4 linked regions of the Daphnia pulex genome follow. The protein of the gene in region 3 interacts with the protein of the main gene of each other region in a biochemical or structural test. Links are inferred from orthologs where the notes say so. Each region holds a gene or a part of one and is shown on either strand. Other genes may lie near its edges.

Region 1 (5,937 bases), on a different chromosome or scaffold from region 3:
GTATGATATCAGCTAAATAAGATTTCACATGTAATCTGAGTTTGGTCCAACTTTTGCATTTTTCTAAGTTCAGCTTTTCATCAGCGGGTGACTTCAAAATTCTTTTCAAAGCTGGGATCAGATCAACAATGCACAAACGGACAACTGCGTTGAAGGCTATTAAAGGAAATAAATGGTGAGAGATAGTTAACTTCACAATTAATAACAAATTACCAGCACTCCCTTGAACAACAAATCTGGTTGCTCCTTCTTTCTCTTCAGTGACAGAGTGTACAGCGCTTCGGAAAGCGCTCACAACGTCAACAATTGTTTTTATAGATCTAAAAGAGAATGAAATGAATAAGTATCACTTTTAATAAATATCTAATATAAAATGGAAATTACTTGGGATCTTGAAGTTCTTGCTGCCATTTATCAACCATACTCTGTGTAATGACATTTTTTTGTCTTTTGGCAGCACTTTCTTTGTCTTCAAAATCAGACTCATCACTGCCAAGTTCTAATTCTTCGGGTTTAGGCAGTTCATGGAGCTGCCCTCCTCTTTCATCATCTTCACTGTCGCTAGAGCCAAACTCAAGCAATTCACGATCATTTTCAGACAGAAACTGATAAAATTCTGGATCAGTATTTTTTAGTTTGTCCAGTGTTTTCTTGTGTTTCTTCACAGCTGTATTGTCATCTGATTCATCACCACTTTCATCTTCCGAATCTTCATCAGCTTCATCCATTTCTTCATCGTCTTCATCTGCTTCATCCATATCTTCATCTTCTTCGTCAATTTCATCATCTTCATCATCTTCTTCATCTTCCTCATCTACTTCACTTTCAATTTCTTCTCCAGCTTCTACATCTGATTTTGTGGAGTCTTCGTCAATGCTTGAAGTGTTGTCTTCACTTTCTGATGAGTTAATAAACTCGTCGAGGCTCAATTTCGCCCATTTCTGATCTTTAACAACGGCGACATTGTTACCATTTAATTTTTTTGTTTGGCTTTGGATTGGTTTCTTGATAGGTCCACCTTTAGGTTTCCCAACAAATTTGCTATTGGTTTTAGATTGTTTCTTCATGTTGAGCACACAAACGATTGTCAAAATGAAAATGTAAAAGTAACACCGCTTTTAACTTACGCTAACGATGGACAACACGTGTCGCAGCCGTGTCTAAGAGCAGACGACTTAAAATGCTAGACTGTCATTTGTTTTTTTGGAAGAAAACAGTTTCGGGCAATTTCATTGGTTTACTGAAAAGCCGTCTGGATTGGACTAAAAAGTTTCAAATTTTTCCGTGTAAATCAAATATAGGTCTAAATTCTTAATTGTTTTGTTATTATAAATTTTTAATTCTAGACGTTTTAAACTATGAACAGTCGTTGTTCTATTTATCTTTTAAAATCTCATTCCATATTTAACTCTAACATTCCTTTTCTAAAAAAAAAGTAGTATCATATCATCATATTATCATAGTTTTAACCCAATTATTGTATGAAGTTTTTAACACAATTAACATATTTTATTTATGCAAGGCATATGTCATTAAAGAGCCTAAATGCATCATAACTGTAAACACAGTTAGGGAATTCTTAAATGATAGTGACACATGTGGTCTAATTAGATAATCAGAAAGCAATGTATTCAGCCTTTGACATTTCAAAACAATGAAAGAATTTGAGTTAATTTGTCAAACTGAACCCCTCATTGGAGGGGAGACCAGAATCACACCATCTCCACGTACAAAGAGCATGGGAATGTTGCGTTTAGTTGTTCTGTAAACTTCTTCATAAGTTTCTTCATCAATTTCAACAGTGGTTACTGTTTCTTCTACCTCACCTAGCACCATGTTCAAATGTTGATCATATGCCTATGGACCATAAACAATAATACAATATATTTTGGGAACACAATTTTATAGCAAAAAGCAATTTAATGTGCTCGACTTACATGTAGCCGGCCTCTCAACTCTCGTTCATTTCGCATTTTGACGTAAATTCTTTCATCGAGACTTAGGCGAATCAAATCAAGTGGCTCTTCCACAGTAATTACAGGGGCCTAAATGAAAGTGGCAATATGAAAGCTTGAATTATTAATTTAAAATTTAAAAAATGTGGAGTTGTATACATACTGAAGTTTCGTTTTCGTCCGCCATTTTGAATCTAGTGTAAAGTGTATTTTTCGGACGCAAGGAGGCTTTGTGATGCCTGTGTGCTTCGGACTAAACGTCACCCCCTCCCCCCACAAGTGTTTTGTGTGCCAGGGTTTTCCTTTCATTTTCTACATGATTCTCCTTTATATATTGGGTAGCTTTATATCTTACGAGATTTTCACGTAAAACGAGATCAGGGCTCAATGGTGATGTGCTAGTTACGATTTAAAAAGAAAAAGTGAATCGAAGGGAAGGGATTGAAGTTGTGAGGCTATAGCGCGCGATTCGGGTTTGTGAAATCCATCCATGGGGAATTGCTGCTCCTGTGTTAAAAGTGAGGCGAATACCAGATCATCCGTTGCTCCTGGAAATTATTCTCTTTCATCAAGTAAACTAGAAGACTCTGGTTAGTTGAAAATTTAATTTATAATGTACCTTTGTGTAACCCAATCCTTTTTCATGGTCACACAGATACATACCGTCCTTCACAATCGGAAGAGCTAGAGGACTCTAACCTGGTCATCAGCTCTGAAACATATGTGAATGGAAGTGGGTTGGACGCTAGAGACTCTAAAGGGGAGATGCGTAGGCCCTTTTATGTGCTCATTCCACCACTGGTTGGAAGAGGGAGTAATAGCTCAGGTGAATAAACATTTCTTTGTTATGAAGCCACCCATACACTTACTAAATTTTACATCTCAAACAGGTGATATTAAGAAGACAAACAACAATACCATCAATGGTGCATTAAGCACTGGTGGAATGGGGAATGGAACTAGTGCAGTGGAAGTGTCAGAAAACAATTTAGTGGCCTTCTATGAAAGCTACTGTGGAAATACTGAAGACAGGATTGAAGATGCCATAACCACTGATGGAATACTTCATCTGTGTGCTGATTTGGATTTAGCGGCTGACGACTTTCGTATTCTTTTATTTGCATGGAAGTGCGATGCAGCTCAAATGGGCAAGCTCAGCAAGAATGAATTCTTACAAGTAACAACACTAACAAATAATTTATTTAAAAAATTGAAATTAATGTGTAATCATTTATCCAGGGATGTCGACTATTAGGAACAGATTCGCCTCGTAGTCTCAAGTTCAGCTTAGAACAATTAGTAAAAGAAGTAGAGGACAGCGAAGTTTTCAGTGACGTTTACCGCTATGCGTTTCGCTTCGCTCTGGATGTAGAGTGTGGTCAACGCTCTTTGCCTGTTGATGTAGCCGTTTCACTTTGGCGGCTTGTATTTACTCATCGACCCGTCCCTCTCCTTGATCGTTGGATCGAATTTCTTGAACAGTCTCCTCCACCTGTTCGAGCTATACCCAGGTACAAATCACCAACAGTTGGGCATTTCAATGCAATTTAAATTTAAATTCTCTTCTTCAGGGATACATGGTGCATGTTTCTACACTTAGTGGACGCTGTGGGAAATGATCTTTCCCGCTACGACGACACAGAAGCTTGGCCTAGCCTTTTTGACGATTTCGTTGAATGGGCCAATGATCGAGCCAACCAAAATGTGCTGCACGCCAAGGAAGAACTACACTGATGGTGATCAACCCTCAGCTTCTTCCCGTATTCGTTTCGCTTTGCTGTATTAAGTTTTTCTCTCTTCTCACCTTGAATCGTTTCAGATGAGTGTATTAACTATGTGGTTTTTTAAGACATGATAATTGCTGATGGATGAGTGAGTTATTGAATTCGTATTTGTATCGGTTAGTTTACTTTGAATCTTCGTCCACCTTGACTCTCATTTATACTATGAAAACAATATCTGCTGTGATTCCTTGACGACTTTCGCCGTACAGAGTACTGACCTGCCAATGTCCCTCTTTTTTAAACGGCCCCTCTTGTTCACGTCTTTGAAATATCGTGTCTTTCTCAAACCACCTTTATTTTCTCCAATTGTTTATACTGTAGTTTGAGAAGAACTGTCTTTGATTGGTAACAATTTGATTGACCATGATTGCCACTCTAAAGAGTAGGTATATATTGGTATTTCTGTATACCCACCCTTTTTTCCCGAATGTAACGTACCGTAAGCCTGTTTGTGTGTTTATGTAAAATCGGTATTTTTCCTGTGACTGTTGATTGCTTTCTACTTGTTTATGTGCTATTCTTAGACCACTGTGGATGAAGACATCAATACAGATGTGAATGTAAGCCTTTGGCTTATACAGATGAAATTGTTTGTTCTTAGTTTGAAAACTTTGTAGTTAGTGAAGTGGCATCCTTATATAAATCCTCAACCAACCCAACATACATATATATTTAGTTTATAATTATTTTTATGTTGTTGTTTGTTAAAAAAAAGGAAACCGCAAACCAGCCGCAAACTAGAACTCAATAAACCAGATTTTAGAAAATTATAACCCTGTTCAGGCAGGCCTGTATCCCATGCCCATCCTCCGTTTCCCGTTTATTCTCCCTCCGACCCTCCCCCTTCTGAATCTGACCGCCAGGCGGCTCCTAAGTGATAGCAGACTACACTTGAAGACTAACCGAAAGAGAGAGAGTGATTTTCGCCGCTATTTCAAACAAGGCGTAATCTTTGTTTGGAATTTGATTGAAGGTCTTACTTTTCAATGTGCTTAAAATGGAAGTTGCAAAGCCAAATACCAGGTACTACTTGATAACTCATGGAATAAATGTATGCTGACTTATTTTTATATCTCTTTGAAGAACTCGGAAAGTGATAAATTATGCAGCCATGAATGGCGATAGATCATCAGATGATAGTGACAACGATTTCGTTGTCAACACTAAGGTTTCAAAACCCTCTGCCACTGCATCGAAACCTTCAAAACTGAGTAAATTGAAGCTAGGTTCAAGAAAGGAAACTAAGTTGTCTAATAAATCGAAATTCACAGAACTAAAACCCATTTCAGATCAATCAACAAAGGTTTGAATTTAAAATATTATCATTTTTTTACTTAGTATCTTATGCTTTGCATGCATTTTTTTTTCAAGGCAATTCAGCCTCCCATAATTGCTGGATCAAAGATTGTGGAAGAGATTGATTTTTCCATAGCAGAACCTGATTTGATAATTCACAGCATTTCGTCACAAGATACAGTTATCGCATCCACGTGTGAATGTCTTTCTCCTCATGAACTGAGTGACTCTTCAGACTCTGAAATCTGTGGAACCACTTTTGAGCTATCTGCTACAGTGAAAAACATGTGCCAAAAACATGAGTCAAAAAAGAAGATAGTTAGTGAGGATGAGGATTTCAAACCCCTTAAAACAAATGAAGAAAGAATAACCAAACGAAGGATCATCAGTGAAAGTGATACAGCAAAAAATAAGAAGATCAAAATTGAAAGTAAAGAAGATGAAAAGTTGAATACCCGTGGTAGTGTTGAATCCATTACAAAACTTTCAGTAGATGATAGTGAAGATACTTCACTTCCACTGCTACCTAGACTATCCCCCTGCACAAAAATGGTGGAAAGGTCATTACCTGAACAACTTATCCAAAATTGCCAGAACTTAGTTCTAGTTGCTTCAATCAATGAAGACAGTGAATTACCAGTTGCCCTAGAGAATAACATTCACACATCTGTAAAAGAAAAAATCAAAGTATCAAAAGACGACCATAAATTAGAAAAAGCTGAAGAATACCCAAGAATTTCCGCGCTTCAACACATTTCTGAAGATTCAAATAAAATTCGACCAGTGTCAGCGGAAGCAGTATCTCCTACCAAAACTGCCAAAAAGGCAACGAAAGTCCTGAAACAAAAACTGCAATTAAAAAAGAAGCCTGAGACGAACTCGAAAAGAGATGTGACAAATCT
Region 2 (6,249 bases), on a different chromosome or scaffold from region 3:
CCTCATCAACGGGCAGAATTCTTAACGAACCAAGAATGCCGGATACTGACTTGTCAACCAACGTTGGAAATCTTATTTCCTAATCCTCTTTAAGACTCCCACGCATGTTTTCGAGTAAAGTAAAGCCAAACCGACTTGTTTTCAATTAGAAAGGCCCTAATGTCGGAAGAGGAAGCTAGATGAGGATTGAAAAACAATAGCCTACATCTGTTGATCCAGTTGATACGGAACATGATACCAATCCATCACATTCTAAAATTATTTCGACTCTTCACAAAATTAATTAGGATGGAACCTTAAATCTGGACAACTTACCACGCAACTGTTGTTCGTCTGGCAGGAAAAGACAACGGTAAAAGATGAAAACCAACGCAGTGGTCCGTTGCGAATCTTGATATGGGGCTCAGCAGCTCACTGAAAACACTCCAAGAATCAGCAATTGAATTGAATGTGTTAGACGTCGTCACCAGTTGATCTCTTCGGCTGTCGAGCGTGAACCTAATGCTCGATCCGCACGGATGAATGTCGTCAACTCGATCTGGTTCTTTCTCTTTTGGCAGCGCTCACTAAATAACCGGGCAATGGCTCAAAGTGACCTGAGTAATACTCCGTTCGTGCCGTTCTCATCTGTGGTGTGTATGTACGTGCGTGTTTGTTGGATGCTCCCAACTGTTGGCTCGGCGCTTGCGCCAGCGCACAGGATCCCACGCAGGGGTTGATCTACACGCGTCTTCGTTTTATTCTTTTTTCTCCTTCTTCATCTTCGCGACGACGACCCTTTTTTTTTCTCTTTTCGATCTCTTAATGACTGAATCGGCCGCTCGTTTATCAGGTCGAAAGGATTGCAGAATATGGATTCTCTTGTCTTCCGCTCGTCGACTGACTTAAAAGGATTGCATCGCACCACCCGGCGGCGATGGATGGATGGAAGAAGGATGGATGGCCGGCTGTCTCTAACGATCCTCCCCAACGTTACCACAGGGCTTTTTTCTCTAACGAATAGCAAGAGGCGGTTATTGAAGTTCGGTTATTGAAGAATCATACATCCATTTATTGATAATTTGTAGAGGAGAGCGAAAAAATCGTACATTTTCTTTTCTTGTTTCTTTATTTCGGTTTTTCTGTGGGAGGAAGGAAAGGGTTTTTCTGTTTTTGGATATTTATAAGCGCAGCGTTGCCGTGGTAGTCGTAACCGAGTTGAAAATAAAAGTGTTATCCAACGGGACGTACTGCTTGGTGATGAGTTTGATAACTTCTTGGGCGGCACATCCACCTGTATTTACGGAGGAACAAATTATTAAAGCAAATGATGCAACAAACCAAATCAAAACACGAGTGAAGCACATTTTTATCGTTACAGAAACATGAAACCCCTGGGGCATCAAATAATGCGATTGTTCGCATGGACAGAAATTGGAATGGAGGATTGCTCACCAATAAATGCTGCAACGGCGTGCAACTCGGCTGCACCGTAGCGACACATCTCGTGAAGATTGTCATCCTTTGAAAGACTACCGCCTTGGCAACCAAGATCGTTAAGAAGACGAGAGAAGCAACCCTGTCATTGCGACAGATTTTCAAATTAGGATCAATATTGTCTATTGTCATCGAGTCCATCACATGTTTCTTTACCTTCAATTTAGCTATATCGGTCTCAACATTGTCGTCATAGTAACCGGGATGTGATCCATTTTCCGTGTGGAATTTATTAACAGCTCTTAAAAGAAGGTAGTGCAGCCAGGGGCTATCTGGTTCTTCCAACTGCTGATCTGGAAGTTAGACAACAAGTAGTTTTTTCTTTAATTCAGGAAGGGAATCCGATATATCACTTACTGATGTCGACATCTCCCGGGAGTTGCTTGCCATCCAATTCGGCCGCCAGTGAAGTGCCTCGTATCATTCGTAGTTCAGACGAATGCTTACAAAACAACTTGACGTCATTTTCCATCACCGATTCACTAGACCAGCCTCGCTCCTTCAGTATGAGTTGTACGTGGCGCCACACGTGTTCGGCATCTTTAGCTGCTTGCTCACGATATCTATGGGCATTGTAAAGTGCCAAGTGCCAACGTCATGAGCAGTTATTTTCCATCTTGATTGTAAACTGACTACTTACACATTCTGGAGAGCGATGTAGCGTTGAGAATCGGAAGTCATGTCGGGGAGAGAGCCACGCAGGGGTAGTGCTCCGTTTCCTTCCTTTTCCACAAATTCTTTAACTCCACGTGCCACAATCCAGAAGGGGTTTTTCTCTTTTAGATGAATGCACTGGTCGTCATTCAGGATCTTTTGTACACTGGATGGAATTTGGGTCTTATTTAGAGCTGTGTTAACCGCTTTAATGGCCTCGGCGACGTTTTCCTCGCCGCCAGTGTTAGAGTCCTCTTCTTTGACGATACCGCATCCTAATTCTGTATTGGACTAGTATTTAACTAATGAACAATTTAGAAACAAAACAAAAAAGTCATCAAACCTTTGCTTATGATATCCTTGAGGATTTGTTTTTCTTTGTAATTGGATGGCATATTACTATTGTGCTTTTCCTTCCATATTTCTAAGGCTTTGTACAACAGCATTAAATATGGTGTATGACTGAACTGCTTGTGATCCATTTCAGCTAGCTTGATGGTCTCCATGAACTCTTTCAATCCATCAAATGGTTTATCAAGCCGGAGGTCCTCCAGCAAGTTATCTGGATGTGATTCGATGATGCAATGTTCACTGACTTGAAGCCGGATAGATCCAATAAATCCATAGGATACACAAACTACCAGGGGGACATTGTTCTGCCACAAATTGGTTGACAGAGAATGCAATGACCTGTAAAACATGAGAAAGAAACTTTTAGCTTTGTCATAAACCTGATTACATGATTCACTTACTTTTCAGTAAGGCCAGTGGCTATGACAACTGAGAATGTACAAAAAAAATCTGGATTATTTGACAAAAGTTGATCACATGTTTCTTCTATGTAGTCCCCTTTCACATCTGCATTTAGTTCCATCAGCAACTGGGTTGCCACATGTGCCCGAGGCTTCCCGATTCTGTTGTGATCAAGGAAGAAACTGGGTGAAACAAAAAAGACATTACTGCCAACAGACATGAGATATCTGTAATTCAATTTTTTACTTATTCCCAGCATCCTCCCCAGAAACCAACGCACCGTCGACAATAGTGAAAGAACCGATTCCAGGCAAGACTAGAGACTTCAAAATTTCTGTTCCCGTTGCAGTTGCGTTAATAAGACAGACACTGGCACTCTCCAATGCAGCCTGCCCATGATCTCCCCAAAGCCTATGAAAATTTTGTAAAAAAAAAAATCAGGAAAAAATTTTGTTTTCAAAAAATTTAAATAATGTATTTTACCTCAACTGGCGATCATATTTTTTGCTTTTATCCGAGAGCTGACCCGGTGATTTTGGTGAAGGAGATGCCATGCTTTTGTACAACTTCCGAGAGTGGCTTTTCGTTCACTCAAACGAAAGAAACTTTTTAGATTTGTTGATGCTACTGCTACGCCATCTATCATTCATCTAGCTTCACTACACATCGACCGTAAAGTAACGCCATCTTTTGGACAATCGATAGAACATGAAGTAGAGGGAAAATCTGAAGCTTTCAAAATGTGGAAGAAAAGAAGAGTAAAGCCCCCCGAAAGGTCTAATCAATTGAAGAGTATCGATCGAGTTCCTTAGAAAGAAGCCAACAAGCCTTTATTATTGAACGTCTTGCGCCCAGACGTAGCTACATCACCAGAAAATCCCTTATTCTTGTTCTGTATTGAGTGTACTTTTTCCCAAAATCGCTGCAAGTGCAAAAGAAGCCTTTAGCCGAGAACAATCGATGGCACACGCAAACGGGGTGCCAACTGGTACATTTTCCCCTTCATTTTAAAAATAAGTTCCACAATTTTCTTTATAGACGTAATAGCAATGGAAAAAAAAAGAGCTAGAAAAGATTGAGCCCATCATGGAGGGCGGTGTAACGCCTATGACTACAGTCACAATGTTAACAGGCCATTAAGTTGCAGGCATATGTTAACGTTCGGTGGCAGTCGACTGTAAATAGAAAGAAAAAAAGATAGAAGAGTAGAGGGAGGCGGGGTAGGGTCACGCGGAGAAAGAAGAGGGGGAGTGTGCCTGCCTCTATGGTGTACAAGAGACTTTGATGTCAAAAGGGGGAGGAAGAAGACGATCACGAGGGCGGGGCGGTGTAGTATATAAATTCAACGAGAAGGAACGAACAACCCGAATCGCCATGAATCTAAAAGGGGAAGATAGAAAGAAAAAAAATGCCCAAAATAAAGATCTGGTGCCTTTGAGGGAGTCCTCACTGTTAACTTCTCGTCAACGACTTGTGTTCCTTTGCACGGGACATCAACTTTACAACTGTTTATATGTGACATGGACCGAGTCAGATCATGTTACCGCCGACAGTCCAGAACGACAGGCCTGGGATAAAGTAACAGCTCCGATTTCATTCGATCCTCCTTCGGCCACTGTCCCCCCTTTCGGCCGGTGCATAATCGACCGTCCCGAGATTCTTGCGGGTTTCATGGGGCCATCAAAACCAAGACGTCAAATGGGCGGAGTGATGTCACGCCTCTTTTTCTTCCACATTTCCGTGTGCGACGAATGGACGTGGAAAACAAACTATTTTCAAATTGTTTTGATCTTGTCTTGTGTGTAATATAATAAATCGCCTTGATTACATAATAATTAATGAGAAAAACGAGAGTTTGTAAACCGAACGAAATCAAACGGGGTGGTGAAAGATGATGAAAACAGCATTACCGATATAGTCTACTACAAAAATATGACTAGACACGCAGAAAAGTGGGCGGCGGGGAGGCAAGGGAACAACTGAAACTGTTCAATTGGTTAGAGACAAGAACGGTTAAATAAGATTTCGACGTGACTAAACAGGACTAGATTATACAATAATGAGATCGAAGTGTATAAGAGTATATAATAGAGTACCGAGAGAGAGAGAGAGAGAGATACTGAGAGAACCGATTTGGGGGAAATCGGAACGAGCTTCCTGGTCCCTCTAAATACATACGCACGGTTGAGGAATAAATCAAGCGGATGTGTACACAAACAATCGGGTTCAACAAAAGAGGATTAGAAACCGAGTACGGTGAACCTTGAATCTTCATCGATCAGAAAATAGAACACACTGTGTATGTGTATAGGCCTAAATAGATATTCCATTTTTTCCCCCATAATTAACATTTTACGACTAGTTATTTAAAATTCAGGACAATCATTTAGAAGATTTAGATTCAGAAAGTCTTTGATGGCTGGTGTTGTTCTCTGCTAAGAAACTGCATTGTGGTACTCTTCTGGTTGATTCACGATGACTTTGCGTTCAGAGATCGAAAAATGGGATTAAAAACCATGGAGGAATCGACTGTGGAATTAAGGGAATCAACTATGTACACCCGGTTGAACAAACTGGAACAGCAAAGGGAGAAAACTTGGGGGGTGAATCGAATGAAAAATACAAACAGTCGGCCGCCACAAGACGGTGTGGTGTTTAGGCCTATACGTAAGTTACAGTGTACGTCGAATTCACATCCAAAATGACCGTTGCCATTTGCTATGTACACACACATACACACGGGCATCCAATAACATGAAGTTGCAGATAATAATGAGGAGGTTTATCTCCAAATTAAATCGTCTGCGCAGTACCCACACAAATGGATGTCCTCATCCGACATTCAGCACCAGAAAAGTGTTACATCAAAGCTGATGGCAAGCGGGGAAACAAATTTTGGTATTTTTAAAAGGGTATATAATACTTTGACTGCTGTATAGTAGAAATTACAATACCGGTACGGGGGTTTTCTGTTTTACAGTTGTTTTAAAATATAAAGTCGTTCGTTTCTCCTATTTTGTCGGTGGATTTTCAGAACTTTGTTTCAAGCGTAGTGCGGATAGGATCCGAGGTGGGAAGTGACGTGACTTGGGTGGTGATGATGGTGGTGCTGCAGGGCGTGGCCAGCGCTCATGGGCATATTGGAGTAGAGGTTTGCTGCGCTGAGATTGCCACCGGGGTTGGTTGACCAGTAGGGCGACGGTGGTGGGAAGATGGCGCCAACATTGAAACACACGTCTGCAAAAATCACAGCAAAGTCAAAAAAAAAAAATCAGTTCGAATTCCACGTACGAGTTGGCTCGAATGAATTTTCTTACCTGGAGATGAGCTCATGGCCGAGTGAGCGCCGACCAGATTGAACTTGGA
Region 3 (5,166 bases):
CGCAGCGTTTAAAGGTGAGTTATAAAGATTTCCATTTTCTTCTTCAAGACTTGTTCAGAATTTTCTTTAACCTATCGGATTCTTCTTTATAAATGTCAAAAGTTGGATGAGGCCTATGCACAGAAAAGATAGTTTATACATTAAAATAAATATTATTATTATATATTATTGACAAATAAATGTTGTTACTGTGTGAAGAAGGTTTGCAAAGATTGTAGAGTGCTGAGTGGAATGTTATTGGGATCAACGGTGAGGATGCGTTCCAGAATCAAAAAGAATCCGCTCAGAGGCCAGGTGGGTCGAAATTGTTTATCTTCACTCTAACAAAAGAAATGTTCAATAATAAGATAATTCTGTCATAAACATAGACAATTATGTGGCTGTCAATAACTACCTTTAGAATACCCATGTACACTAGCAGTGTGTTATCAAGAACAGACATCTTATCCATTGACTTGGCCTTTTCGAAAGCCGCTTTAAGAATCGCATCAACGGACTGTTGAACATTTTCGACTGAAGATATCTCCGATCTCAGATTGACGGTCGAGCTAACTTTCATGATGACCTCAGCGTAAACGGCAAATAATGCATCGGGCTTGGCAGCAATCAAACGCTAAAATACGGAAAATCTATCAAATGAGGTCACACAATTTTTTGTATTGCGAACCTACGTCGACATGTTGAAGAATCAATGAGCTTTTCTGGTCACCTAACCCATTGAAGCGAGCCAAAGTGGGTGCAGCAAGTAGTGCCTCCACTGTCGACTGTTAAGATAGTCGTAAAATAACATTCAATTACAAACGATTTAAGAAATCTTTTGAATACCGGAATGACTTCGTTTGCAGTTAGCTGAGCCAGATTAGCATTAAGTTGATGCAAAGTGTCATAAGCAGACACATGATCGAGAGATTTTTCTACTTCTTTCTCTTCTTTCTCTTCGTCGCCACTCTCTTCCTCTTGTTCACTTTCTTCTTCCTCGCTGCTTGGTTCACCTTCATCATCGCTTTTAGAAGAAAAAAAGAAGAAATGAGATCGCAAATTTTAAAGCATATTGGATTGATGGTTTTCATACCTTAAACTCAGCAAAACCTTTTCACCTAAGCCACTGAAGATATCCTTGAGCTCCTGACATCCTTCTTCACCGAACTGATTACCGTTTAGATCACATATTTTAAGCATTTTTTTGTTTTTTAAAGAATTAGCCAATAGCTTTGCTCCACTCAAATTGATTTCGCCATGATCCATATAGACTTCCTAAAGTACGATCCAATTAATACATAGATGTAGAATTACGAAACGCCATATTAAGGAATTTAAACATATTGACATCAACAAAAATTACCTTTAAATGCTCATGTCCGGATGACAATGCCTTGGCGAGGAACTCAGCCCCCTTGGTACGGATCAAACAGTCTCCAAAGTTTATAACCGACAATTGCTGCCATTTTGGAAGAGCTTCTGCAACAGCTTGTGATCCTCTCCAGGTGAACGTGTTATCATTAAAGTTAAGAATTTTCAGGCCAGGGTTATAAACAAGCGCACTGGCCAATGCGAGAATACCAGGATGTCTTATAAAATTTTGAGGCATCTGGACTTCTTCCAAGGTTCCAACTGCCTAAAAACAAATATGCTGTAATTAAAATAATTAAATAATTACTGAAAATAAAAAAAACAGTGACCTTGAAAAATTCTGACAGAGCAATCGCTCCTTCATTTTCAAGTCGATTTCTTCCAACAATGAAGGTTTTCAGACTCAATGGAGAACCAGCCTCTTTACTGGCTTTAAGACAGTCATTTAAAGCTTGGGCAAGCATCTAAAGTAAAAGGTAGCAGTATTATGATTACAAATAAATGGAATTTTAGTTACCCGTCCACCATAAATTCCAAGGCCATTGTTGTTTAATCTTATACATTTTAGAGAATAGCAGACAGGGCTTTTCAAAAACTGAACAAGACCTTCCATACCAACTGGACCTAATGCATTATCACTCAAATCTAACTCAATTAAGTTAGCTTTAGCCAAAATGAGTCCTCCTCCTAAGAAACTCTATTTAAATAAACGGTGGTTAATACTGTTAATCGTCACATGCACCACAATCAAATTACCAAAGCTTTTGGAATTTCATCTTTCAACCGGCCAGTAAAAGCATCTTTCCACAGTGCTCTCTGGAAGGTTGGTTTGGATTCTAATGCTTTGGCAATAGCCTTGGCGGCTTCAACACCAAGAGTGTTTCCTTCAAGGATGAGACCTGTCAAACCTTTTGCAGCCTGAATTGCATTAACAATAGGTTGGGCTGTTGAAAAATTCCAATAAAAAGAACTTTAATCCCATTTATAAAGCAAACATAAAATCAGAACAAACCGTCGGCTTCCGTATCTAACTTGAGTCCTTTCCCGCTAAAATCTACTATTTCTTCTTTCGCATTCAAATTATTGGCTTCAGAGTCTCCATTAAACTTAGTCACTGCCCCATTCATTTCTTCGAAGTTGTTGGATGATTTTTATCAGGTTCAACCAAGATGACACTCTAAAGTGTAAGTGTAGTATTATTTTCTATTGAGACAAAAATTCACGTGTCTAATTTGAACGCTAACAGTCGGTTTATCGACTCCCTCGTACCCTCGAATTCCCAAGCAGAAATTTCTCTTTGTGCAGCGTTTTCACATTTCAAAAATAGGGTAGGCCTATTGACTTTAGAAAAATGAATTGTTAATTACTATTCATAACTAAATTTACACCTAACAGTATTTAATATTATTTTTAATTTAAAAAAATCAGTTGTATCAATTGGATTTCTGGCAGCATAAAAAAATTTATATGGAATTGTTTTTGACGTTTCTCCAACAGTCTGCTGTTTAGTCCTCTCAATCAGCAAAAATTTCCCATCTGTTCTGTATTGGGCCAAATAAAATCTAGACTGGTTCCTCTGTAAATATAAGAAGGAAACCCCTGTTAAGTTTTCCCAAATTTGTAGATCTCGTATTTGTGGAGCCGACATCATGATTAAGCTTTTTTCTCTTAAACAACAAAAGAAAGATGAAGTTCCAGGTCGGGCAGGAAATCAAAAGAAAGCATCCGCTGCCCAGCTGCGTATCACCAAAGGTCTATTGACTAAAAACAAGTTCTGACCTTGTGACCCGTGTTCCATTTATTTTAATATTTGTTATAATGTCTCGTAGATATTAATGAGTTAAATCTACCCAAGACTTGTCAAATGGAATTTCCTGACCAAGATGACTTGCTGAACTTCAAATTAATCATTTCTCCAGATGAGGTATTACGTATTATGAAATGCAAAATATTTATTTGATTTATAAAACTTTTTTATAATTATTCTGTTACAGGGTTTTTACAGAGGAGGGAAATTTTCTTTTAGTTTCAAAGTTGGTCCTGGTTATCCTCATGAACCACCCAAAGTGAAGTGTGAGACACAGGTGTATCACCCGAACATTGACCTTGAAGGTAATGTGTGTCTTAACATTCTACGAGAAGACTGGAAGCCAGTATTAACAATCAACTCCATAATTTATGGTCTGCAGTACCTTTTCCTGGTGAGCTCTTTTTCTCAGTTCATTGAAATCCATCTTGTTATTAGTAGTCCTAAATTCCCTAGAATTGATGTATGTTGGTTATTTTATTTCACTGTTCTTGTGTGATTTTCAAGGAACCCAATCCAGAAGATCCATTGAATAAAGAAGCTGCAGAAGTACTTCAAACAAACCGGCGATTATTCGAAACAAACGTCCAAAAATCCATGCGAGGGGGATATGTTGGTTCGGTAAGCTAAATTACTTTGAAATCATATTTAAAAATAACACAATCTTGTTTTGAACCTAATTGGGGAAAACAGGTTTATTTCGAACGATGCTTGAAATAACATCCGAATCAGATACAACAAAAAACGAATGGCTCTTTTCAACTTTGATTTCAAACGATTTTTAACATGGAAATTTTCATGTGCAGAAAAAATAAACATCCGCGTGTTTTGCGTTCCATCATTAGTTTTTTATTAAGTTTCATCATTCAGCTGTAATTTTTTCTTGAATATCCATCACCGTTCTTTACTCGATATACGGAACGATACACGGTTCAAGCAGAAGGAGGAAGGGAATGGATGACTAGGCTTTGCTACTGATGAGAATAGAAAGTATCGAACTATTCAGTGTTCCTACTTCCTACAAAGAGCGCATTATCAGCAGTTAGATTAACCTTCCCAAGCAAAGCCTAAATGCACAACACAAAAATTCCCCTCCAAAAAAAAGGCAACCAAAAAAACAAAACAAATGGGCAATTTAACCTAATCAGACAGATTCAATAAGAAAACCAGGCATTGATGAAAAAAGGTCAAAGCACAGCTATCAATAAATGTGATAGTGACGGATGTTATCAAATAGAACCATATTGATAAGGAATTATACGATAACGTTAGTAAGAAACATTCATCTGCTAAATGGTGAAGTAGACCCATTTCCTCCGAAATTAAAAGAATCGGGAACCGTTTGTTGGTTGAAACTGTAGCCTGAAGAATTTAAAAAAAGAGAAAAAAAAAATTGTCTTATGATTATCATTAACACAAATCTAGGAAATTCTTACCTCCAGCCTCTTCAATCCGCTTACTTTCAGCGGCTGCGCGTCGTTGATCAGCAAGAACAATTACGTCGTTTAGGGCTTTTTGCTGATCACCTGTCAGAGCTCCAGTCAAAGCGTTGTACCAACCGGGATTAGTACCTTGAACTTCTTCTAGTACTTGCTTGAAAATGATATATTCATCTATTTCACAATTTTCAACGTCCAACGGAGTAGTGTAACCTAAAAGAAAATTTTTAAATATTTCAATACTGTTTCTTCTTAGCAAAATCAAACAAAATTTAAATACCCTCAAGGGCTGTTTCTTCTTCTTCGTCTTCATCATCGTCCTCGTCGTCACCATCTTCATCGTCCTCGTCGCCAGGGAGATCCTTGATGACAGTAGTGATAGGAAATGGAGACTGACCAGAGGCTTTCGAAATTTTTTCCTTTAAGTATTTAGAGTATTAATTAGTCACAAAATAAGCGCATGCTTCACTAGATTTTTTTTTTCAATACCTGCAGGCGCTCCAAGTAATCTTGTCCATCATGATCAATATCATCTTCGTCAGAGCTGAGCACTTCCTCACACTCTTCATC
Region 4 (6,199 bases), on a different chromosome or scaffold from region 3:
TTTTCTCCAGCCCCTTGACTGGCTGATTGTGTAGCTTGATAGCTAAGAATGATACGAAAATGAGGAATGAAGGCTGCTCCGTCAAACCGTTCATCATCCCATTTTGAAACAGCGAGTCCGGTTGAGAATTTTCTAGAGGAGTTCACAATAAGATCAAAGCCGAAGAATTGACTGAGTGGTAGTTCAGCAGGTTCTGCCTTCGTTTCATGAGACAATCAAAACAAGTTTAAGAAGCTAGTGTGAACTGGAATAGGAGTGAAGTCATAAGGGAACTTCTTATTAAGTCAAAGATTGCTACATATTCCCATCCATAAAAGTAAATACTTCTTCAAAAACTGTGTACTGCCTTTATAAGTCGACGGAAAATATATGCTGTTATCTCAAATTTTACCCTATAAGTAAGAGGAATAAAACAAAAATCAGGTTGCTGGGTTCACAAGGAATTGATGGAGAGCGCGCGCGTGTGGGACTTGATCGGCAACTACAAATTAATTTATGGAAATGTTTCCTTGAAATAATTTGTTGAAGTCACGTAGGCCACATGCTGTGGTCTACGTGACGTTTCTTCTCCAGGTAAAACATGCCAAAAATAAGAGTAAACAATTTTGCAGCAACGAAAAAGGATTGAAAACTTGTTACTGTGGTAGAAGGGAACTTCAATCGACCAGTCGGTAGAAGTGATGGGACGGGATCAGGGACTAAAGAGATTTCGACAGTCGACGCAGGTGCTATTTTGCTCCGAATCCTTCAAAAAGACTTGCTTATTGCTACTGCACAGAATAGGGCAGGAAAGTAGAGAAATGTTTTTAAATTTTGTGGCCAGTTAAACCGTTTACTTTCACGATTTCGAAACTCACACACCTTTCGTTTTTTTTTCTTGTTCCTTCATTCACGGACCCGCATAGGAAAACACTAGCTAGCTGCCAAGAGATACCACGAAAATAACCGTTAATGGAATTGAATCTTTTCCTAATGAGTGAGCTGAGCCGAGAACACGCGATCTCCAGGCCTTTTGGGCAAGAGAGTATTAATTGAATTGAATCTCGATTTTTAGAAAAAGAAAAATGGAAACGGAAAAATTCAAATTTCCTAGATGCACCGTGCAATGAGGTTCACTTGAAATTTGGGGTGCTATCATGCAGCGCAGCTCAAAGTATAAAAGGACCGAAGGACTTGTAAGTTAACTAAACTTTGTGACTTGACTGTCCGAATAGTAAACCAACCAGCACCCTTTAGGGGTAATTTACCTTTTTCGGACGGTAGCAACACAAACTTATAAAGTAGAACACATTTGCATTTGCTATCCTCATTATAACCTGGTCATGTTGTAATAACATCACCACAACAACAAGAAACATCTATCATTCACTAGTACAAGGTTATCTCCATAGCCAAAAAATGAAATGTCATAATAACTAAATTTCTACGATAGGTGCTGATGAAGACTAGAAATTTTACAAAAGATTCCCGCTCTTCGATTAACTAAACCTTGGCCATGTGTCTCAATCGTGATATTGTTCTGATTTTTTAAACATCAGGATTTGATTTCTACCTAGGGCTTTCAAGTTTCAACAAGTTCTTTTCTTGGAGCTTTTAAATGGCTTAAAAAAGTTGCGATGCTCATATATACGAAAGAATATATTAGAATAGAAGCCCATATCGCGATCGGGCCATTGAAAACCTGTCCCTGCAGAAGGTATTTCATAATCGATATAACGCTCCAATGCACCAGAGAAAATAATAACAATTCCTATCAAATTCGGCGGCGGGCGGTTGAACGAGTCAGCGACCAAATAAATAAAAAAAAGGCTAGCCCTTCACTTAATTAAAGGAATTTCTAAAATCCGCAATTCACATGTAGAATCCTTACAAATCGTCATGTAAATTTTATAATAAAAAATGAATAGGCCTATCTCATCTCTCCATACCCCATGGCCTACCCTGGCTGGCCTACCTTTTCATTACGTCGGTTTACGTCTTCTCATCAGTGCAGACTGCAGAAGAAACCAGAAGAGGCTTCTCTTCCTTCTTTTCTCTTCAACCGGCGAGTCAGCACATAACAGATACACACTCGATTGAAAAAAAGAGACGTCGTAGTTTTTTTTTGCCTCTCACAATTCTGAATTCAAGGCTAAAGAATGTCGAACGTCTCGTACCATATCGCCAATCTTTTAGAAAAGGTCCAAATCTTAATGTCAATTATAACAAATCACTTGAAATGCTTGCTCTTCAGGAGGCAATGCATGCTCTCTACTGTATCCAAACAGTCAATGTAATGCAAAAAAATTCACTTACAGATGGCTTCCAGCGATAAGGATTTCCGATTCATGGCAACCAATGATTTGATGGGAGAGTTACAGAAAGATTCCATCAAGTTGGATGATGACTCTGAGCGAAAGGTTGTTAAGATGCTTCTTCGCTTGTTGGAGGACAAGAATGGCGAAGTTCAGAACCTGGCTGTCAGATGGTATGTATAGTTAAACCAGAAATGTACAGAAATTCACTCAGCACTTATAATTTTAATTGAATTCACAGTCTTGGACCTTTAGTCACAAAAGTGAAGGATGTTCAAGTGGAAACGATTGTTGAACATCTTTGCACAAATATGTCATCAGACAAGGAACAATTAAGAGATATCTCTTCAATTGGTTTAAAAACTGTTATTAGTGAACTCCCTTTGACTGCATCTGGAATGGCAGCATCTGTAAGTTCTACAGAATGGCATATTCACTTTCTTTTCTATTGATGTTTTAAATGCTTTGGTTTGTTACCCAACCAGGTTTGTAAAAGAATAACAGGTCGCTTGAACACGGCAATTGCCAAGCAAGAAGATGTGTCAGTACAACTAGAGGCCCTTGATATCTTGGCTGATTTGCTTACCAGATTTGGTAGTCTCCTGGTCTCCTTTCACGAAGCTATCCGCGAAGCATTATTACCCCAGCTAGCTTCGCCGCGTCTTGCAGTACGCAAACGTACAATCCAGGCTTTAGGCCACTTGGTTATGTCGTGCCATCATACTCTATACGTGAAGATTATGGAACACCTTCTTGATGGTCTGGCCAAGAACTCTACCACTTCAACAACCAGAACTTACATTCAAGCAGTTGGTGCTATATGGTATCCAAACACTTGATCAGTTGACAACTTAATTGTTGCATCATAAATGCTAAATGTTTTCCTCTAATAAAAACTAGTCGTCAAGCCGGTCATCGCTTTGGTGAGAACGTGGAGAGAGTGGTGCCGTCTCTAATTCAGTTCATTAACGTAGATGATGATGAACTCCGAGAGTTCTGTCTTCAGGCTTTTGAGGCACTCGTTCACAAATGCTCCAAAGAGATGACACCTCACATTGGTACTCTCACTGGTATCTGCCTGGAACTATTAGCCTATGATCCAAACTACAATTACGAAGTACGAAACATCAGCTAACATTTATTTGAATTATCAAACTTACAGAGTGATGATTTTTGTTGTAGGAAGAAAACGGCGAAGATGACGAAGGAGATATGGAAACTGAAGAAGAAGATGAAGAAAATGAGGAAGAGTATTCGGATGATGACGACATGTCCTGGAAAGTGAGTAAACGATTTCATCATCGGAAAAAAAAGGAAAACATTTATTTTATTTCTTCCCCTCAGGTACGACGATGTGCTGCAAAATGCTTAGAGGCGATTATCAGCACCCGCCCAGATTTGCTAATAGATTTTTACCGTACCATTTCTCCTGTGTTGATCGGTAGATTTAAAGGTTCGTAAAATTCAGTTGTTCTGATCAAAATTGGAACAATTAATCAAAACATTTCTGGCATTTTCAGAGCGCGAAGAAAACGTAAAAGCTGATATCTTCCATGCATTCATTGCTCTTTTGAAACAGACCAAGCCATCTGGATCTGTTCGCGACGATGGTACTGGCTTCGGCGCTAATCAAGAGATTTACAGCGTGTTGATGCAACAAGTCCCTCTCATTATTAAAGCCACCAGTAAACAAATGAAGGTAACGAAAGGTTCCCTTTAGTTCTTGGAATGGTAAATACTTACACTTTTAATACAGGACAAAAGCCTAAAAACTCGACAAGGTGTGCTTGCCCTTTTGACCGAGCTAGTCTTGGTTATTCCCGGGTGTTTGAGCCCTCATTTCAGTCAGTTGGTCCCAGGAATCCTCTTCTGTCTCAAGTATTTTTTTTTCCCGCTGGCATCGTCGTAACACACCGACCAACTAACTCTTTGATATATTACAGTGAAAGGAATGCGAGCTCTCCGATGAAAATAGATACTTTGCAATTTGTACACACGGTACTAATTCACCATCCGCCCGAAGTGGCTCACGAGCATATTGCAGCATTGTTGCCTTCTTTGTTGAGTGCTGTATCCGATCCGTTTTACAAGATCACATCCGAAGCTCTTTTGGTTCTCCAGCAGTTGGTAAATGTTTTTGACTGAAATATTTATTTGGAATTCACTTTAAATGCTTCTATTTTTATAAAGGTGCGAGTGATGCGTCCATTGGATTCAGCCACCACATTTGACTTTACACCATACACAGTCTCCATTTATGATAGCGTACTAGTCCGGCTAAAAGCTGCTGATTTGGACCAGGAAGTCAAAGAGCGCGCCATTTCATGCATGGGTTTCATAGTTTCTCATCTGGGAGATCACCTTGCTGGTAAGAAATTAAAAATGATAAATTCTGCATACTTTTGAATTCACAACTTCTTTGCTCAGATCAACTAATGGTATGCCTCCCCATCTTTTTGGATCGTCTTCGAAACGAGATTACCCGGTTAACGACAGTCAAAGCTTTAACAAAAATTGCTTCGTCTCCGTTACACATCAATATAAGCCCATTGTTGCCCGAAGCACTTCCAATTCTTGCGGGATTTTTGCGTAAGAACCAGCGGGCACTTAAACTAACTACCCTTGCTTTGCTCGATCGTATCGTCAACAACTACAGGTAATAACTTACTTAAAAGTTTTATGTTTTTCCTCTTGGTTCCCTTTAAGACTTCTCTTTCTTTGTTTTTTTTTTAGCGCTGCGCTAACACCGGAACTACTGCATGCGGTTTTAACCGAAATACCGCCTCTGCTGTCGGAATCTGATTTGCACATCGCGCAGCTAACCCTTCATTTGCTCACTTCTGTTGCGCGGAATCAGCGTTCGGCGTTTCAAACCGGTGGAGTTAATGGAGGCATTTTGTCCGAAGTCTTCAATCTCTTGCGCTCACCTTTGCTTCAAGGTGTGGCTCTGGGATCCCTTCTCGATTTCCTACAGGCTTTGGTCGAGTTTAATGCTCCGGGTTAGTGATTTTTTTTCTCTTAATTTCAACTGTATTACTTAGAAGACAACTTATTAACAATATTAACTGTTCACTTTTACTTTCCATTCAGGATCTGGTCTTGGCTACCGCGATTTGTTGATGTGTCTGATGAATTTGGCGTCAAAACCTGGTCTCCACAAGACTGCCCATCATTCTGTCGCCCAGGCTGTTGCTTCACTGGTTGTGACGCAACCTGTTTCTGAAGCTTTTACTTTGGTACAGAATTTTCTTCAGGAAGCTCAGAGACCTCATTCTGATTGGCAACACATCTTTGCCCTGCTCTGCATGGGAGAAATTGGCAAAAGAATGGATCTTCACCAAGTCCCAGGGTTGGGACAAGCAATCATCGATTCCTTCGGCCCACCAAATGAAGAAGTATTTCTAATCTTTTCTAACGTCAACATCAATCTATATCCGTTTTCTTTAGGTAAAATCTGCAGCTTCGCACGCCCTCGGTTCAGTAGCAGTGGGAAATCTTCCAGCTTTCTTGCCCTTCATTCTTACTCAGATTGAAACTCAATCACGGCGTCAGTATTTGTTGCTCCACTCGTTAAAGGAAGTGATTACTTCGCTGTCACTTGGAACCGAGGCCATTGCACAACTGCGCCCTTTCGTACCCCAAATTTGGGATCTTCTCTTCCGTCACTGCGAGTGTAACGAAGAAGGAACACGCAATGTTGTGGCGGAGTGTTTGGGAAAGCTTACTCTCACAGACCCAGAGGGATTGCTTCCACGACTTCGAGCAGCTCTGAACAGCCCTAGTGCGTTGATGAGAACCACGATCGTCACAGCAGCCAAATTCACAATTTCTGATCAAGTCCAGTCCATTGATCCTCTGCTGAAGCAATGTATGGGCGATTTCCTTCAAACCTTACAGGTAATGAT

The links.
Region 1: the proteins of NEDD8-conjugating enzyme Ubc12 (region 3) and DCN1-like protein 3 form a complex in vitro, tested with the Homo sapiens proteins (4 studies listed by BioGRID and IntAct). The link is inferred for Daphnia pulex from reciprocal best matches to the Homo sapiens genes UBE2M and DCUN1D3.
Region 2: of the proteins of NEDD8-conjugating enzyme Ubc12 (region 3) and NEDD8-activating enzyme E1 regulatory subunit-like, one has a biochemical effect on the other in vitro, tested with the Homo sapiens proteins (4 studies listed by BioGRID, with this or other methods). The link is inferred for Daphnia pulex from reciprocal best matches to the Homo sapiens genes UBE2M and NAE1.
Region 4: the proteins of NEDD8-conjugating enzyme Ubc12 (region 3) and cullin-associated NEDD8-dissociated protein 1-like form a complex in vitro, tested with the Homo sapiens proteins (2 studies listed by BioGRID). The link is inferred for Daphnia pulex from reciprocal best matches to the Homo sapiens genes UBE2M and CAND1.

The regions. Positions count from the first base shown.
Region 1 is NC_060026.1:10,626,875-10,632,811, reverse strand, and holds DCN1-like protein 3, read left to right. Parts: upstream 1-2,403; 5' UTR 2,404-2,445; coding exon 2,446-2,545; intron 2,546-2,610; coding exon 2,611-2,781; intron 2,782-2,845; coding exon 2,846-3,132; intron 3,133-3,194; coding exon 3,195-3,466; intron 3,467-3,526; coding exon 3,527-3,689; 3' UTR 3,690-4,326; downstream 4,327-5,937. Other genes in the region: nucleolar complex protein 2 homolog, read right to left, coding at 1-156, 214-320, 385-1,078, 1,689-1,857, 1,938-2,045, 2,119-2,142; uncharacterized protein LOC124205018, read left to right, coding at 4,737-4,762, 4,823-5,042, 5,111-5,937. UniProt on the Homo sapiens protein: Contributes to the neddylation of all cullins by transferring NEDD8 from N-terminally acetylated NEDD8-conjugating E2s enzyme to different cullin C-terminal domain-RBX complexes and may play a role in the cell cycle progression by regulating the SCF ubiquitin E3 ligase complex, after UV damage.
Region 2 is NC_060021.1:5,297,335-5,303,583, reverse strand, and holds NEDD8-activating enzyme E1 regulatory subunit-like, read right to left. Parts: upstream 3,524-6,249; 5' UTR 3,438-3,523; coding exon 3,367-3,437; intron 3,295-3,366; coding exon 3,130-3,294; intron 3,066-3,129; coding exon 2,883-3,065; intron 2,821-2,882; coding exon 2,474-2,820; intron 2,412-2,473; coding exon 2,117-2,411; intron 2,040-2,116; coding exon 1,834-2,039; intron 1,770-1,833; coding exon 1,633-1,769; intron 1,559-1,632; coding exon 1,435-1,558; intron 1,274-1,434; coding exon 1,161-1,273; 3' UTR 1,031-1,160; downstream 1-1,030. Other genes in the region: DNA-binding protein D-ETS-3-like, read right to left, coding at 5,927-6,120, 6,201-6,249. UniProt on the Homo sapiens protein: Regulatory subunit of the dimeric UBA3-NAE1 E1 enzyme. E1 activates NEDD8 by first adenylating its C-terminal glycine residue with ATP, thereafter linking this residue to the side chain of the catalytic cysteine, yielding a NEDD8-UBA3 thioester and free AMP.
Region 3 is NC_060024.1:11,931,102-11,936,267, reverse strand, and holds NEDD8-conjugating enzyme Ubc12, read left to right. Parts: upstream 1-2,824; 5' UTR 2,825-2,999; coding exon 3,000-3,102; intron 3,103-3,179; coding exon 3,180-3,274; intron 3,275-3,344; coding exon 3,345-3,551; intron 3,552-3,664; coding exon 3,665-3,778; intron 3,779-3,850; coding exon 3,851-3,877; 3' UTR 3,878-4,001; downstream 4,002-5,166. Other genes in the region: ran GTPase-activating protein 1-like, read right to left, coding at 44-113, 190-320, 395-613, 672-764, 826-1,003, 1,073-1,254, 1,343-1,615, 1,680-1,814 and 3 more; importin-7-like, read right to left, coding at 4,440-4,519, 4,594-4,809, 4,877-5,015, 5,086-5,166.
Region 4 is NC_060021.1:5,210,360-5,216,558, reverse strand, and holds the start of cullin-associated NEDD8-dissociated protein 1-like, read left to right. Parts: upstream 1-1,970; 5' UTR 1,971-2,138; coding exon 2,139-2,180; intron 2,181-2,297; coding exon 2,298-2,467; intron 2,468-2,535; coding exon 2,536-2,704; intron 2,705-2,779; coding exon 2,780-3,117; intron 3,118-3,194; coding exon 3,195-3,411; intron 3,412-3,476; coding exon 3,477-3,575; intron 3,576-3,638; coding exon 3,639-3,747; intron 3,748-3,814; coding exon 3,815-3,993; intron 3,994-4,050; coding exon 4,051-4,172; intron 4,173-4,237; coding exon 4,238-4,421; intron 4,422-4,484; coding exon 4,485-4,662; intron 4,663-4,721; coding exon 4,722-4,950; intron 4,951-5,027; coding exon 5,028-5,293; intron 5,294-5,384; coding exon 5,385-5,689; intron 5,690-5,741; coding exon 5,742-6,191; intron 6,192-6,199. UniProt on the Homo sapiens protein: Key assembly factor of SCF (SKP1-CUL1-F-box protein) E3 ubiquitin ligase complexes that promotes the exchange of the substrate-recognition F-box subunit in SCF complexes, thereby playing a key role in the cellular repertoire of SCF complexes.